Linked DNA regions of Canis lupus familiaris. The protein of the gene in region 1 purifies or fractionates together with the protein of each later gene. This does not show direct contact. Links are inferred from orthologs where the notes say so. Each region holds a gene or a part of one and is shown in the gene's direction. Other genes may lie near its edges.

Region 1 (5,360 bases):
AGTCTTCATATTTATTAACAGGTGAGTTCTGTTTTAAAGAGAATAGCAGTTTTCAGCTGTTTTTTAACACAACTTAAATGATGCTCATATAGACATCTACTAGGCAACATTTTATTAACAATATAGTAGTTCTTAAAAAATAAAACACTACTGTGTTTATCTTCTTTAACTTTCTGAGCTTTGGACAAGCTAGGTTAGACAAACTATTTTACAACCCTTACCCATGATTCCAGTTAGTTTTATTTTACTGGATATTGTCTTTTGAAATTATGTGTAAACAGTCTGTTGATACCTGACTTTTCTTTCACATTTCTTTTCGGTTTTATCAAAAAAATACTTAGTACTGCAAATACTAAGAAAATTATATATAAACACAAACATTCCTGAGATTTATCCTCTTTAGACACACCAACTAAATGAGAGCTTTGTAATTATTTTAGTGATCCAGAAATATTATTGAATTTTAATAGTCTTTAGTATTTCCAAATCCTTTGTACAAAACTTCACCATATTTTCTCCTTGTTCTTTACTCAGGTCAGCATTTCGTTTCTGGGTTACAGATTAGCTATTTATTATTTAGAGGGGATCCCTGGGTGACTCAGCAGTTTAGCCCCTGCCTTCAGCTCAGGGCGTGACCCCGGGGTCCTGGGATTGGGTCCCGCATCAGGCTCCCCGCAGGGAGCCTGCTTCTCCCTCTGCCTGTGTCTCTGCTCTCTTACCCTGTGTCTCTCATGAATAAATAAATAAAATATTTAAAATATATGTATATTTAGATATGTAATTATATTTATGTATGTGTAATTACCATATCTGCCAATGACTGCAAAAGTGCTACAAGTTGATTTTAGCAGTTCATGAATTCACAAAATTGAAATCCATGAATGATGAGAATCAATTTTTTTATTTTTTTATTTTTTTTAAGATTTTATTTATTCTCTGTGAGAGAGAGAGAGAGAGAGAGAGAGGGGCAGAGACCCGGACAGAGGGGAAGCAGGCTCCATGCAGGGAGCCCGATGTGGGACTCAATCCCGGGTCTCCAGGATCATGCCCTGGGCTGAAAGCAGGCGCTAAACCACTGAGCCACTCAGGGATTCCCGAGAATCAATTTTTTTTTAAATCAGTCTTGTCCCTATAACTGATTTTATACTTTTGCTTTTCTTACAGACCCAAGTAGGACGTTTTGCACCTCAGTTTTCTGGATACCAGCAGCAAGACTGTCAAGAGCTTTTAGCTTTCCTATTAGATGGATTACATGAAGATTTGAATAGAATTAGGAAAAAACCGTATATACAATTAAAAGATGCAGATGGAAGGCCAGATAAGGTAAATTTAATGTCATTATTGTCACCACTTTTATAATAATGTGATATCTTTGTGTAATATGTGTCTGGTTTTCTTACAGATAGTTGCTGAAGAAGCCTGGGAAAACCATTTAAAAAGAAATGATTCTATCATAGTAGATATATTTCACGGCCTTTTCAAATCAACTTTAGTTTGTCCTGAATGTGCTAAGATTTCAGTAACATTTGATCCTTTTTGTTACTTGACACTTCCATTGCCCATGAAAAAAGAACGTACCTTGGAAGTATATTTAGTCAGAATGGATCCACTTACCAAACCTATGCAGGTAAGTCATGATTATTTTCTTTGCATTTGTTACTTTTATAAAAACTTAGTGTTGAGACCTTGTACTTCAAGCACAATTCAATAATAAGTTTATTTATATAAGAGATTTTACAAGCTAAATACTTTGGGAATTAGTACAACTTTTTAGAATCTTGAAATGGCGAGGGATTTATAAATTATCATTATTTATAAAAACAAAATTCTCAGTCTTTTTCTTATGAAAGAAAAATGAGAGGTTGTTCAATTTTGCAGTGGTAAGATAAATATGAGCCTAACAAAGATTTTTCCTATTGTCCAACTTGAACTTTAATGTTAATTGTAAGTTTTTTTCTAGTGGGCTGTTGGAAGTAAAACTAATACCATACATTTTGATTCATGATTTGATAGTGGTATATTTAAATACCTGTAATTTTTAAGCATCTTAAGAACTCAAAAGAGAAATAGAAATTTAATTCAGCTATAAATATTCGCTTCAATAATGTTCTAAGCAAAGCACTATATTTTCTTCCTTCACTAATCAGTTAATCATTTCCTGACGCTTGAACCACCCTAACAAAAGTAGTTCCTTACTCTTCTACTTTGAGTGCCCCTGAAATGTTGTTATCACATTTATCAAATTTTATTATGACCCCTGGTTTACTTATCTTTTCTCTGTTAGTGAGTTCTTTGAAGATAGGAACTTTGTAAATCATTGTATTTCCAACCCCCTTGACTTGTAGTACTACTAAAGCAGAAGTATTCAAAAATTATATTCATTCAAATATGTGTAGGGCACCCAATGAGAATGTAAAGCTCTGTTTGGCAGACAGAGCAGACATGGTTCCTGCTTTAGAGGACTGTTGACTAAAGATCTTTAGCTCAGAGTTCTAGTCAGATAGTGCAGTTTCTTAGAGCATAGTTGTATTAGTCTGCTCAGGCTGCTCTAATGAAATGCCATATAAACTGAGTGGATTTAAACAACAGAAATTTATCTTCTGATAATTCTGGAGGCTGGAAGTCTAAAATCAAGAGTACTAGCATGGTTGGTATCTAGTACAGACTCTTTTCCTGGTTTACAGGCAACCCTATCCTCAGTGTGTTGAGAGAGAATACCTGTAGCACACAAGCTCTCTAGCATCTCCTTATAAGGACACTAATCTCATCATGGAGGTTCACCTTTTTGATCTCATGTAAAGCTCCCAAAAGCCCCATCTCCAAATATTATTACATTGGTGGTTAGGGCTTCAACACATAAATTTTAAGTGGACACAATTCAACCAATAGCAATATCATGAGATCTGTATGAAAGGTCTGCTTTTGAACAAAGTTATGATCTTACCATTAATTTGGTGGAAGTGTTTGGGTTTACTGTCCACAAGAACATTATAAATGAAGTGTTCCTAGTACAAGTATAGTCCTTTCATTCAAACTAATTAAAGTCTAGTGAAGACTAGTCGTGCCCTCAGTAATGTAAATTTCCCCTATTTCTTTTGCTCCTTCTTTATGTTTCCTTTACAAACTCACTGATCCTGATGGTCTCATATCAATATTTCATTCAGTAGTACTCAGAATATTGAGTAGGGCCTAGGAGGGCCTGCTTTTATTTTTTGCCAGGGGAATATATGCTCACATTCTCTAAAGTACATTTGTTGAAGACAGTGCTCTCCTATGCCAATAATACAAAAGTAAGCTATATTACATAGGGACAGGTCACATTCAAATTTCACATTAGCTGTAGGCGTGTATTGAATGTTCTCCCATAATTTGGGTTTTAAATTATTTTTCCAGCAATATGAATTTCATTAGTATAACTCTTTTCTCACTTGGTGGCCAAAAATACAGATTTGTGGAGATCGGAGCCATGGTTAGCATAAAGGAATCGGGCATTTTTTTTCTACTTCAAAGAAGTAACAACTCAAATACAAAATGATAGGCTCGCTAACGGTATGCTTAACCAGCTAGAAAGGAAAGGGAAATTTAGCTGAGTTAACCTACTTGATGAGTTTTCCCATCAGTGAAGTTGATTTAGGTCTTAGAAGTTTATTAGTAATTGTACTAACATGTATTATGTATTGGATTCTGATTCTCTGCAAAGTGCTGGAAATACAAAGATGTTCCTGGTTCTTGTTCCTGAGAACCTTTTCATACAATGTGAAAAATGCTGTGGCAGTGCTGTAGGAATATACATACAAAAGGAATGATACACCCAAACTGCCAATGCCTGTGTTGAATCCTGAAGGATGATTAGGTTTTAAGTGTATGAAAGCTGGAAATAAAGGCATTGTAGACCAACAGAGTGGCATATACAAAGACCGAAAGGCAAAAGACGACATGGCCCACTTCTGGAAATTAGAAGTAGATAATATGGTAAGCAGAAGAACTCACAAAGCTCATAAAGAACTTTGCTGCCAAGATAGGAGATTTGGACTTCATCCTAAAAATTAGGGGAGCCATTAAAGGTTATTAAATAGAGCACTATGTGACCAGATTTTTATTAGAGAAAGAAGACCCAGGCTACTGCAAAGACTGGATTAGAAGAACTTAGGTCGGATATACTAAGACCATGTAAGAGAGTTTTGCAGTGATCACATGACAAATGAAAATGACTAGAACTCTTAAGATTAGTATCAGGGTGACAGAAGAATCAGTTGAATATAAGAAGTAAAAATGTAAAAAAAAAAAAAAAAAAGTAAAAATGTTTAAGAGTATTCAAAAATGATGCCAAGTTTTTTGGGTTGCAAAACTGAGGAGACACTGGTGCTATTTGCCTTAATGGGATATATATAGGAAGCAAGGTTTAGGAAGAAGCCTGTTGTAATATTGGATATGTTGCCCTAACATGACCTAAATCTATGTTTAGTACTGGACATGTTGAGGTGCATGAGGAAAATTAGAGCTTATCAGTAAGCATTAAGTTTATCTATCTAGACTAGAAGAGAGATGTCTGGTTGAGATAGAAATTGGGCAGTGAGTTCTATGACAATGATACTGAATGTCTTAGAAGGATGAGATTCCCTAAGGCTAGGGTGACTCTGTAATGTATCATCTAAACTAGAACTCTTTTAAAAATAAAAGGGGCCATTATTAATCATTATATTACCAGGACAGCAGGTTCATCCAGGGCTGAGACAAAGCAAATTAGAATATATTGTCACCTGCTTTAAAGAGAGCATATAGAATCAAGAAGGGGGTGAAGGGTAAAACTCTAAAGGAGTTTGACAACCTTGGTAATAGGTTAAATAGATGAGGACAGAAAGCTAGGGGTAGATTGATAAGTGAATGGAAAGTGAAGAATTTAAGATAGTCATTATAGACATTACTTTTAACAAGGTTATATTTATAAAGCAGAGGAGAAAGGAAGATAACTAGAGGGGGATTATCAGAGGGAAGGCAATGAGAGACTGGGTTTTTGCATTTTGTTTTTTGGTTTTTGTGGGTTTTTTGAGAGACTAGTAGATTATTCCATTGCTTACGTAAGAATCAAGGTAAAATGACATAAAGGATGATTCCTGGGTTAGGTTCCCAAGGAAGTAGAACAGGATGGGAATCAGAACATAGATGCTAGTGGTAGCCTTAGATGGGAAGGGTAACATCTGATTCTCTTTCCCTGTGTAGAAAAAAGATGGAGAAAAGGACCTTTTAGAAGTTTGTTCAGGGACACAAAGTTGGATATTTTCCTATCCAGTAGCCTCTACTTTTTTTGGTATTCTGCTGATAGTGAAGGGAGAAATTGTAAAATAAGGAAGCCTAAGGAA
Region 2 (5,460 bases), on another chromosome or scaffold:
CATATGGTCGTTACCAGTGTGTTACATGGAGACTCTCCCCTTGTGGCTTTGACGAGGCAACTGCCATCCTGTAAGCCTCCCTGGGGAGGGGGCCACCTGCAGCTGACAGTGAGCAAGGGACTAAGGCCTTGGGTCCTGCAGCCGGCAGTCTGGAGGCGCCTCCTTTCCCTGCCAAGCTCTGGCCTGTGATCCTGCAGAGGACCCAGCTAAGCCGCGCTTGAACTCCCGACCCATACGACCTGTCAACTAATAAATGCGTGTTGTGTTAAGCTGCTAAATGTGTGGTCAAATCGTTACACAGCAAGAAATAGGTAACACGGATGGGAACGAAGAGGCTCAGTTACAAGGGTGTTGCTGTGGCGTAGGTGGGGCTGGAGCTCAGGCCCCGAGATAAAGACCTAAGCTGCGATCAAGAGTCAGACGCTCAGCCAGCTGAGCCACCCAGGTGCCGGAGAGCCATGTTACTTTTAACTCCGTCTGAGGTAGAAGTAGGAACTTAGGAGCCACCTGCTGCTCTGGTACCCGACCACCCAGTTAAACCTTCCTTCAGTTTTGCTGATAGCAAAGAACTGGGAACCACCTGACTCACAAAGAATTTATAACCCGTTCATTCAGGTCACTCGCTCTTTCATCAGACGCCAGTTTTTGAATTGTCCCTCTGAATTGTCCTGGGGGTTTTACATCTGGAGTCGGGGTGCCCGCGCGACTGGATTTCAGCTAAGGTCACCATCTCAGGGTTGTGGGGTCGAGCCCCGCATCGGGTCCCACACTCAACACGTCGTCCGCTTGGGCTTCTCTCTCTCTCTCTCCCTCTGCTTCCCCTCCCATCCCCACATTCCCTCTTACTCTAAAATAAAAAAGTAAATAAATACATCTTGAGTTGATGCACCTGCATGAGAATGTCACTTTATTCCGACAGATGGGAGAATGACAGTTTTGGAAGAGGATGCTCTGTCCTCAGGTGACTTCTCAAGCTGAGCCATTGTGTTAAGTAGTGCACTAGCAACGGGAGCTCTCTAAGTGAATTCCCTTAAAACTAGTCTTGGAAAGTCTTCCTGGACCCAGGAGCAGGGAACACGGGAGACGACGGCGGCGGGACACGCAGGAGTGCGGGTTGCCGTGGTGCGGGGGGGGGGGGCAGCTCGGGAACGGGCGGGATGCCGAGGGGATAGCAGGGGGGGACACCGTGGGGACAGCCAGGCAGGACAGCTTGGGAACGGGCGGGGACAGCGGGGCGAGGACAGCAGGGAGGGGACGGGGACGGGGGCGGGGACGGGGGTGGAGAGCAGGGACGGGGGGGCGGGGCGGGGGCGGGGCGGGGGCGGGGCCGGGACGCCGTGGGGACAGCGGGCGGGGCCGGCGCGGGGACGGGCGTACGGAGGGTCTGAGCGCTTCCTCGCCACTAGCTTGCGTCGGGCTCCCCACCCCCGGCAGGGGAAGTTTTTTCTAGGTGGTAAAAAATAAAACAAAAATTCGAAAGTATGCAACTCGTACGTGTTTTCTGAAACTTTTAAAAATAAAAGAAATGCGCGCATCTTGGAAAAGTTGAGATAAGTAGGTATGCACTGCGAAGCCGAGTTTCGCCCCACAGGTGGCCTCAACAGGTGCGCGGCAGGTCCTTGAGCGCCGCCCCCATCGCAGTGTCCCCCGAGCCCCGTCCACTGGCCTCCGTGACCCGCGGCCACACTCCCGCACGGGCTGCCGGTCCGCGCGCCGCGGAGCCGGGAGGGGGCCCGGCAGGTGTCCGCCCTCGGGGCCGCCCGCCGCCGGGCCGCGCATCGCGCCTGCGCCCCGCGCCTGCGCACAACCCCCCCGCCGGCGCTCCGCGGGGGGCGGGGCCGCGGGAGAGGGAGCTGCGGGGGCACGGGCCGAGGCCTGCAGTTACCCGGATGTGGTCGCCGTGCGCGCATGCTCCGTGGCCTCCCGACAAGTTGGCAGCAACAACACGGCCCTGGTCGTCGTCGCCGCTGCGCTAGCGGAGCGGCTCGGGTGGCGGGGCCCGCGTTGGCGCCCGCGCGCCGTCCTCGGGAGGCCTTGCCCGCCGGTCCTTCAGCGGCGCGGCCGCCCGGCGGCGGGAGCGGCTAGGGGAGCCGGGCGCCCCGCGACCGAGGGCCCCCCCCGCGGGGCGGCCCGGGAGCTCGAGGCGGCCGGCGGGCGGCGGCGGCGGCGGCGGCGAGGAGGGGCGGGGGCGCGGGGGGAGCGGTGGCCCGCGGACGGGCGGCGGCGGCGGCGGCGGCGGCGGCGGCGGCGGCGGCGGCGGCGGCGGCGGCGGCGGCGGCGGCGGCGGCGGCGGCGGCGGAGCCCAGGTAACGGCCCCGTGCCCTCCCCTTCCCCGGCCGGGCCCGCGCCCCCCCACCCCCGGGCTTCCCCGCCCCGGGGCGGGCTCGGGCGGCCGGTGCGTGCGTGTGCGCGTGCGCGTGCGTGTGCGCGGGGGGCGGGGCGGGGGCCGGGGGGCGGGGGGCCTCGCGCCTCGCGTCCCGGGCCCAGCGCCCCCGCGCCTCCGCGCCCCCGCGCCCGCCGCGGCTCCCCTGCCGTCGCCGTCGGTCTTTGTTGCTCCGAGGACTTGCGCCCGCCGCCCCCGCCGAGCGCGCCCGAAGTTTCCCGTCTCGGGGACACGTCGGTGCCGCCTTTGTCCTCCACTTTCCCTTCCTGCCGGGGCCGCTCCGGCGCTCGCCTCGGCCTGCGCTGGGCGCTCTCGCGGCTCGGGAGCGGGCGGGCGGCGGGGGGGAGCCCTCCCGCTGACCTGCGCGCGCCCCTCCCCCGCACCCCTCCATCCCTCCCCCCTCTCCTGATGAGCACCCGGCCGCCCCCCCAGCCTCCATCCCTCCACCTCTCCACCCCGCCCCTCCACTCCACCTCTCACCCCCCCATCCCTCCACCCCCCACCCTTCCACCCCTCCACCCCTCAATCCTTCCCCTAATCAGCTCCCGGCCGCCCCCCACCCCACCCCACCCCACCCCACCCCACCCCACTCCCAATGAAAACCCAAGGACCCAGTTTCTCCCGCTGCTGGGACTGCGAGCGCTGGGCGCGAGGCTCTAGGACGGAGGGCGGTGGCTCCATCACTTGCCCCCAAAACTGAGGTTATCATTTCTCAGGGAAGATTTTTCAAAGAAATGGGCGTGTTGGGTTAACTTGAAAGGTGGCTTTGGGGGCCTGGAGAGGTGTCCGACGGCTCTGCTGGTGGTGATGCGCAGCACCTCCCCCCCCCCCCCCCAAAGCCCTGGTGAAAGATTCTTTTTCACGAACACATTTTATTTCCGATGAATTCACTTTGGACCCAGTTCCTTGGTGCCTTTTGCGCTGTACTCTGAGGTGGGGCTGAGGGCCCTTCGGGGTCGTGGACGCGGCGCAGCGGGCTCCTGGGCATCTCCTGACCGCGAGCCAGGGTGCGGAGGAGCTGGGGTGCAGAGGCTCGGTAGGGGCCCCGACCTGCCGCAGGGAACACCCCTTTGAGTCCCTGCAGGGAGCACCCCCTTGGGTCCCTGCAGGGAGTGTCCTCTTGAGTCTCCACAGGGAGCACCCTAGTCTTCGCAGGGAGCACCCCCTTGAGTCCCCGCGAGGAGCACCTCCTTGAGTGTCCTCTTGAGTCCCCGTGGGGAGCGCCCCCTTGAGTCCCCGCAGGGAGCACCCCCTTGAGTCCCTGCAGGGAGTGTCCTCTTGAGTCTCCGTGGGGAGCACCCCCTTGAGTCCCCGCAAGGAGCACTCTAGTCTTTGCAGGGAGCACCCTAGTCTTCGCAGGGAGCACTCTAGTCTTCTCAGGGAGCGCCCCTTGAGTCTCAGCAGCAGTCTCTGTGGATCTTAAAAAAGTAGGTTGAGTAGTTTTTGTTGGAACAGACCGTGGAGTCTTAAGAGGAAATAAGGAAATCCACGCTTTGAAAAAGTAACGGGATTTAGGACGCAGCTGGGTGGGTGGGCCGCGGTGCCCGCGCCTGCCTTCCTGCACCTGCGCCGTGTTGCCCGCGAGCCTCTGAGCCTCCGAGGCGTGAGGACTTTTCCGTTAAGGACTTCTTATTTTTTCTTCTGAAAAGTTCTGATATGCCGAGTATGTGACATTTCAAGTTGTAAATGATGTGATTGACCTCTTAAAATATGACGTCCTGCTGCTGTTTCATGAGCTGTGACTTTGTTTCCCTAAACGGGTTTGTTACCAGAACCAACAGGACTCGCAGGGTTTTGGGGTCTAAAGGGGGTGATGAATTGTGTAGGTTTAAGTTGTCGGAATTAAACCTAAGAGCCTTTCTAGAGAAAATGGATAGAACCTTTCGTGGGTCTGTTAATAGAAGTGGCTTTTTCTTTGCTTTCCAGGTTTTTGGGTGAGGTTGCTTGAAGAGGCACTGCATCTTCTTAATTCTTTGATTTTCCGAGTAGGAGGGCCTGAGTGGAAGCTTCTCTGTTTAGCTGAGTGCCCGCCTTGTAAATCTCGAGCTTAGAAAAGAATTGCACGTCAGTTTGAGATTTGATGGAAATTTGGGCTGAGAAGGTGAATTTGAAATTTTTACATGGATCATTGGCCTTTTCTAATGGCTTTGCTGCTTGAAGCAATGCTGCTTACACTACGAAGCAGCAAATCTTCTAAAAACCTATGTATGTTTTATTCTGAGGCTACATTTTGGTTGAGCTGTTTATTTGTGTCTGAATTGTTTTTCTGCATTCCCCTTTAGACACCCCCCCCCCCCCATATTAAAGAGAAAAAAGCATTAAACTAATTTATGCTGCCCAGTCACACTCCAGCCCTCTGGCTTGGAAGCTGTTTTTTTCTGATTGAGCTGGTGTTATAACGTCATTAGACACTATCCTAATTGAGCTGTGAATTGCTGTGGCCTCTACTAGGGCTCTTAACCCTGCAGGATCTGTCCCGTTCATTTAAAACGCATTTTTAGTCCTGTCTAAAATTTTGCCTATTTTGTTGAGTACCTTTTTTTATGTTTAAAGTTATTTCAGTTCTATATTGTTCCCCTCTAGCTCATGCCTAACTTTTTCCCATCTTCCATCCAGTGATTTTGATAGTAAACAAGGCTTTAAACATCTTATGTTGGCCGTTTCGGTGCTCATTGTACATGTTTTGATTTCCTTTTTTTCTAGAAGATTGTGTGGTTAGGCAGAAATTTTTGTTTTGCTTAAGCGATGATGAAATGTTGACTCTGAATTGATGCTTAATCATGTGTAAAACTAACAACTAAAACAGTTCCGTTGATTTCATTATTTTCTACACTAAATGAAAGTTAAAGGACTTGGATCAGCGTAACACAGAATATAATATAACTGTTAAACTACCAAATTTTGGGCTTTTTACTCAACAGTTGATGAAGATTTGGTTGTTTTAAAAAGAAATTCAAACAGTTGATAAATATGTGTAGATATTTGAGTAACTTTCAGTATGATACTGCTTGCATCATAATATGACAAAACATATGCTTGGTAATGAGTCAGATTTAGAATTTTTGGATTTTATCCCT
Region 3 (5,386 bases), on another chromosome or scaffold:
CTTTGCTCAGGATAGCCTAGCCCCAAGAGCTCAGCTAGCACCCTTGGGAGGGAGACAGGAAGGAGGGACTGAAGTAGCCTCCCTTCACCACCCCACACTGGTGCACCATGTGCTCTGGAGGCAGGCATTCATGCCTTCTCAGCCTAGCCCCCTTAGACTCCCCCAGGAGCCAGTTCCTCTGCTCGCCCCTGTGTCCCCCCATACTCCCTCATCTCCTCAGTGTTGGCTGTCTTCTCCAGCCTGTGCATGGAGTGGATGTCCAAATACTTCCTGTAATAAGAAAAGAGGAGAAAAGGTGTTGGTGGCCGTCAGGCATTAGTCTCATGACAGGGCTAGGATGGCTAAAACACTGGACTGGGAACCAGGAGACCTGAGTTTGAAGATTAGCCCTTCCACTACCCTCTCTGGGTATAACTTTCTTCATCTTTAAATAAGGGATATAAAATAAATAAATAAATAAGGGATATGGCTTAAACGAATTCTTACAATCCTCTTCATTTAGAAAGCTGAGGATTAGGAAACTTGAATTCTTGACTCTTCCACGCCCCATGTGGCTTCAGTGTCTTCATTTATACAGTGCTCCATAGCAGTCCATATTCCATTTACATCCTTAGTCTTTGGCTCTATCCTTCCCACCCACCCTCCTTCTTTGGCCTGGGGAGGCAGGAAGGCTCTACTTAACTTGGATAATTGCAGTTTCCTCATCTGTACAATGGGGAATGCCCTAGCTGTTTGACAGGACTGTTGGGGAGGAGTAATGCCAAGTGTAAAGTGTAACTTTTCCCCAAGACTTCACACTCACCACATGCAGATCCGGGGCTGGGGCAACGGCGGCTGCGGAGAGAAAGCGGATTGGGCAGGCGGAGCCGTGCTGTCCATGGCCCCAGTCCCTGACCCTTCGGGAATCTCCAGCGGGCCTGAGAACCTGCTAACTTGCCTTCTCATGTTAAAGGTTATGTATGAGCAACGCTGGCAGGCCGGGCTTCAAAAGGCCGTAAGTACTACTATTCATGAGCATTTAACAATCGGAGTCACACACCCCTGCCTCTTCACCAAGGCACCCAGGAAACGTCTTGAACGTTAATAAGCATAAGGACGGGGGATCCCTGGGTGGCGCAGCGGTTTGGCGCCTGCCTTTGGCCCAGGGCACAATCCTGGAGACCCAGGATCGAATCCCGCGTCGGGCTCCCTGCGTGGAGCCTGCTTCTCCCTCTGCCTGTGTCTCTGCCTCTCTGTCTCTCTCTGTGTGACTATCATGAATAAATAAATAAAATCTTAAAAAAAAAAAAAAAAGCATAAGGACGGTGGCACCCTGCCGGGAAGCCCTTCTACAAACATGAGCGGACCACTCTGTCCCGCCCTCACCGGGAACAAGTTGGCTGCAGGATCTTCATCCGCTGCTACCGAGGCCGCGGTGCCGGCCGCGGTCCCGGACTCGGTCCGCACACCTGTTGCTATCCGCGTGACGGACTCCTCCATAGAGCTGAGGTCCTTCTCGAGTTCCCGCTGCAGTTCGGAGGGCTGTTCAAACTCCGACTGCATCTTCAGCCCCATGAATTGGCTAGACTTCTGGCGGATCATCTCGTCGCTCTTCCTCGTCACGGGTCACCACAGGCTGTGTCCCGCCCGGGTCCTGGGAAAGCCGGTTCTGGGGCCGGGACTGACTGCCAAGCCCTCCCTCCAGCGACGCCTCAGCCAATCTACGCCGCAGAGAGGCCGGTGTAACCAATCCGCAGGGGGCGTCTCCCTCCGTCTCAACGGCGACCGTTGCTAAGGGAGCTCGTGGTGGGAGGGAGCAAGGGTAGGACGCTCGCCAATCAGTGAGAAGGAAATGCACATGCGCAATAAGTTTCAGGCGCCGTCTGGGTGCCCTGGCTTCAAAGCGGCTAACAGGATGCCGGTGATGCCCTTAGAGCTAGGGGTTGTGAGTGTGGTGTCAGTTGCCACGGGAACTGTCTACTGGCCAATCACTGGGAGAGAGAGGAGGTGTTCAGGAAGAAACCAAAGGAGACCCGAGAGGCGGGACAAAGCGCGACCAATAGAAACAGGAAATGAAGTTTCGCCACATCCGGCATTGCCTGCGGCGCTTGCGCTCTTGGCTGAGGAGGCCGGTGACGTCCGGTGAAGTCCAAGATGGCGCTAGGCTGAGCCTGCTGCGGGTGAGGGGCCCGGGGCTGGCGGGGGAGGGATCCATCAGGTGTGTGCGGGGAAGGCTTGGAGCTGCGGAGCAGTGGCCGCCTCCACATCTCTGCTCTCTGTCTTCTGCAGGTGACGGAAGTGCTGCCTACGCTTGCTTGACGTCCCTCGGGAGACCCTGCGCCGCTCCTCGCCGCCGCGGCCATGTCTGGACCCGGCAACAAACGCGCCGCCGGCGACGGGGGCTCAGGGCCCCCAGAGAAGAAGCTGAGCCGCGAGGAGAAGACCACGACCACGCTTATAGAGCCTATTCGTCTTGGGGGCATCTCTTCTACGGTTCGTGGGCTCCTGCCTCAGTCCTCACAACTTGCCAGCCTCCCCATCTCTGGTTTCCGCCCAGATCGTCCAGAACCTTACATCCTAGCTCCCCAAGCTTAGCAGGAGCCACTTTACAGAATCCTCTGTTGAAGGAAACCGAGAACACGACGTCTGCCTTCCTTTTACAGATAGGGAAACAGGTTCCCAAAGGGAGTGTGAGTTGTCAAAGACTTGAGAGCTAGAGGCAAAAGCAGGACTTGACCCTCCTCACAATCAAGATGCTTTCTCTGGGGGTGTCAGAACCTCTTTAAATTCTGTTAGTGGTTAGTCTGGGGATACCATTGCTGTGTCCATTCCAGTTGCTCTCTTTTGCCTCTCTCTGTGACTGGTTTCTTGGGCTCTATTTGACCCTCTCCTCTGCCCCTTTGTTTTTCTTGGTAGGAGGAGATGGACCTGAAGGTTCTGCAGTTCAAGAACAAGAAACTAGCAGAGCGATTGGAACAGCGACAGGCTTGTGAAGATGAACTCCGAGAACGAATTGAGAAGCTGGAGAAGCGGCAGGCCACAGATGATGCCACACTGCTCATTGTCAATCGCTACTGGGCCCAGGTGGATGCCCCTCTGCTTTCCAAGACCTGGCCTCGATCCAGCTGCCAATCCTCAGACTACTCTGCTGGGAAAGGAGTATCATGCTGGGAAGCACCTGAGAGATTCATAACGTTTTTGGTGCTTTCTCCCTTCAGCTGGATGAAACTGTGGAAGCCCTTCTTCGACACCATGAGAGCCAGGGGGAGCTGTCTTCAGGGACAGATGCGCCTGGGACCCAGGAGGGGCCAGCACGTGATGAGACCCCTCTCACAGAACCAGGGACATCGGAACTGAGGGGTAGGGCCAGAGCCCTAGGATCTGGGCAGCTTAATTAAGTTCTGGGAAAGGTCCTGGAGTGGAGGGAACTTTCATATTACTCTACTGAATTCCCCACCACCCTTCACACACACACACACACACACACACACACACACACAACGATTTCATGATGTTTGGACAGCAAGTGCAGTGTTAGGTAAGGCCCCAGGCTTTGAAATCTGAGTGACTTGGTTCGTATTGCATGTCGTATTTGACACTCATTTAGTTCAAAAAACTGTCAGTATCTTGTGTTATCTACATAGGTAGTACTGTTAACAGCTTCAGAAGAGACAAAGATAAGAAATCTTGCCTCTGCCATCAGGGAGGAAGTTTTTTGTTTTTTGTTTTTTAAGATTTTATTTATTTATTAATGAAAGAAACAGAGAGCAAGAGAAAGGCAGAGACTCAGGCAGAGGGAGAAGCAGGCTTCATGCAGGGAGCCTGATGTGGGACTCAGTCCTGGGACTTCAGCATCACGCCCTGGGATCCACCCAGGGATCCACCCAAGAGAGAAAGTGATTTTAAATCATGAATAAAAAGGATAGGGACTCTTGAAAGAGAATTCGTGTATATGCACTCATGTGTATGGTTCTAATTTAGATAGAGAAGGCAGAAAAGGCTTCTCTGAGGAAGATTTGGAAGTCCTGTGGCCTTAAAATTATTTTAGCTCCCTGAACCTCCGTAGTTATGTAATACCAGTGTATTACAGGCATTGCTTGTGTTGGTTCATTGAGCATTGAGTGGCGAAGGGCTTGGTCTAGAACGTGGTATGGAGTGGTGGTAACTGCTGCTGGTCCCCTCGTGAGATTCTCACGAGGGTCTGTCCATTCCTTGCAGAGCCCCTACCAGTGCAGCTGCGGCCCCCCCTCAGTGAGCCAGCTTTGGCTTTTGTGGTAGCACTGGGCGCAAGCAGTAGTGAGGAGGTGGAGCTGCAGCTGCAGGGCCGAATGGAGTTCTCCAAGGCAGCTGTGTCCCGTGTTGTAGAGGCCTCAGACCGCCTACAGCGCCGAGTGGAGGAACTCTGTCAGCGAGTATACAGCCGAGGTTAGTTTTGTGTGTCCTACCGCAGAGGTGTCTATCCCTGTCTGTGTCTTCATTGTATCCCCTAAATGCCTGAGCCCAGAGGCAGCCATAATTTTCCAAGGAATGAATCAGCCACGTTCTCAGGGAAAAGTGTAGGTTGTAGAGGGGGCTCTGCTTTTGATTCACGGGGTTGAGTTCTAGTGAGCTGGGTGGGAGGAGTTGTTGATGCTTAAGGGGCCACTGTCTTCCAGCCGAAGACCTCTTTGGAGCACTTTGCACAGATTTTGGTTGCAGTTGCTCACTCATGAGGCATAGTAGTAAGTGTCTAGGCCTTGCAGGCTGACAGCCCTCATCCTGTCATTTTAGACTGGGCATTCTGGGCAGATGGCTCTCCTCTCTGAGCTGGTTTCCTCCTTTGTGCAGTGGGGATAAAGACTCCTGGCTTTGTCATGAGAAATTGGCAAGACAGCTGGTGGATCACACTGGGCACATAGCAGACTCCAGAATGAGTTAGTACTTTGCCCCATTGCCCTGGACTTGGCTCTTACCCGAGCCCTGCCTTCTCAGGGGACAGTGAGCCCCCCGGTGAGGTGGCTCGGGCACGTACCCGGGAGTTGGGTCGTGAGAACCGGCGGCTGCAGGACTTGGCCACCCAGCTACAAGAGAAGCACCACCGCATCTCATTGGAGGTGGGATTACAACCAGGGCAGGGTTTGGGTTAGATGTGCACCAAGGCTCTCAGGGAGCCAAGTCCTCTCTTCTAAGTATCTGACCCGATCATTGTCTCCAGTACTCTGAGCTCCAGGATAAAGTGACATCAGCAGAGACCAAGGTGCTGGAGATGGAGACGACAGTGGAGGATCTGCAGTGGGACATCGAGAAGCTGCGCAAGCGTGAGCAGAAGCTCAATAAACACCTGGCGGAGGCCTTGGAGCAGGTGGGGTTTGGTTGCTGGGTCAGATGGAGCCACGGCTGAGTACTCGGAACCCACGCTTCTTTCCTC

What was found.
Region 2: the proteins of USP15 (region 1) and SMAD4 purify together in Homo sapiens (affinity purification with western blotting; 4 studies listed by BioGRID). This does not show direct contact. The link is inferred for Canis lupus familiaris from reciprocal best matches to the Homo sapiens genes USP15 and SMAD4.
Region 3: the proteins of USP15 (region 1) and RNF40 purify together in Homo sapiens (affinity purification with mass spectrometry; 4 studies listed by BioGRID and IntAct, with this or other methods). This does not show direct contact. The link is inferred for Canis lupus familiaris from reciprocal best matches to the Homo sapiens genes USP15 and RNF40.

What each region holds. Positions count from the first base shown.
Region 1 is NC_049231.1:5,977,773-5,983,132, forward strand, and holds part of USP15 (ubiquitin carboxyl-terminal hydrolase 15), read left to right. Parts: intron 1-1,164; coding exon 1,165-1,323; intron 1,324-1,402; coding exon 1,403-1,627; intron 1,628-5,360. UniProt on the Homo sapiens protein: Hydrolase that removes conjugated ubiquitin from target proteins and regulates various pathways such as the TGF-beta receptor signaling, NF-kappa-B and RNF41/NRDP1-PRKN pathways.
Region 2 is NC_049222.1:24,037,942-24,043,401, reverse strand, and holds the start of SMAD4 (mothers against decapentaplegic homolog 4), read left to right. Parts: upstream 1-2,262; 5' UTR 2,263-2,306; intron 2,307-4,319; exon of another isoform or gene 4,320-4,484; intron 4,485-5,460. Other genes in the region: ELAC1 (zinc phosphodiesterase ELAC protein 1), read left to right, coding at 616-864. UniProt on the Homo sapiens protein: In muscle physiology, plays a central role in the balance between atrophy and hypertrophy. When recruited by MSTN, promotes atrophy response via phosphorylated SMAD2/4.
Region 3 is NC_049227.1:17,573,604-17,578,989, reverse strand, and holds the start of RNF40 (E3 ubiquitin-protein ligase BRE1B), read left to right. Parts: upstream 1-2,004; 5' UTR 2,005-2,159; intron 2,160-2,268; 5' UTR 2,269-2,340; coding exon 2,341-2,472; intron 2,473-2,895; coding exon 2,896-3,063; intron 3,064-3,197; coding exon 3,198-3,339; intron 3,340-4,197; coding exon 4,198-4,404; intron 4,405-4,950; coding exon 4,951-5,072; intron 5,073-5,173; coding exon 5,174-5,320; intron 5,321-5,386. Other genes in the region: CCDC189 (coiled-coil domain-containing protein 189), read right to left, coding at 1-42, 205-270, 803-834, 1,366-1,581.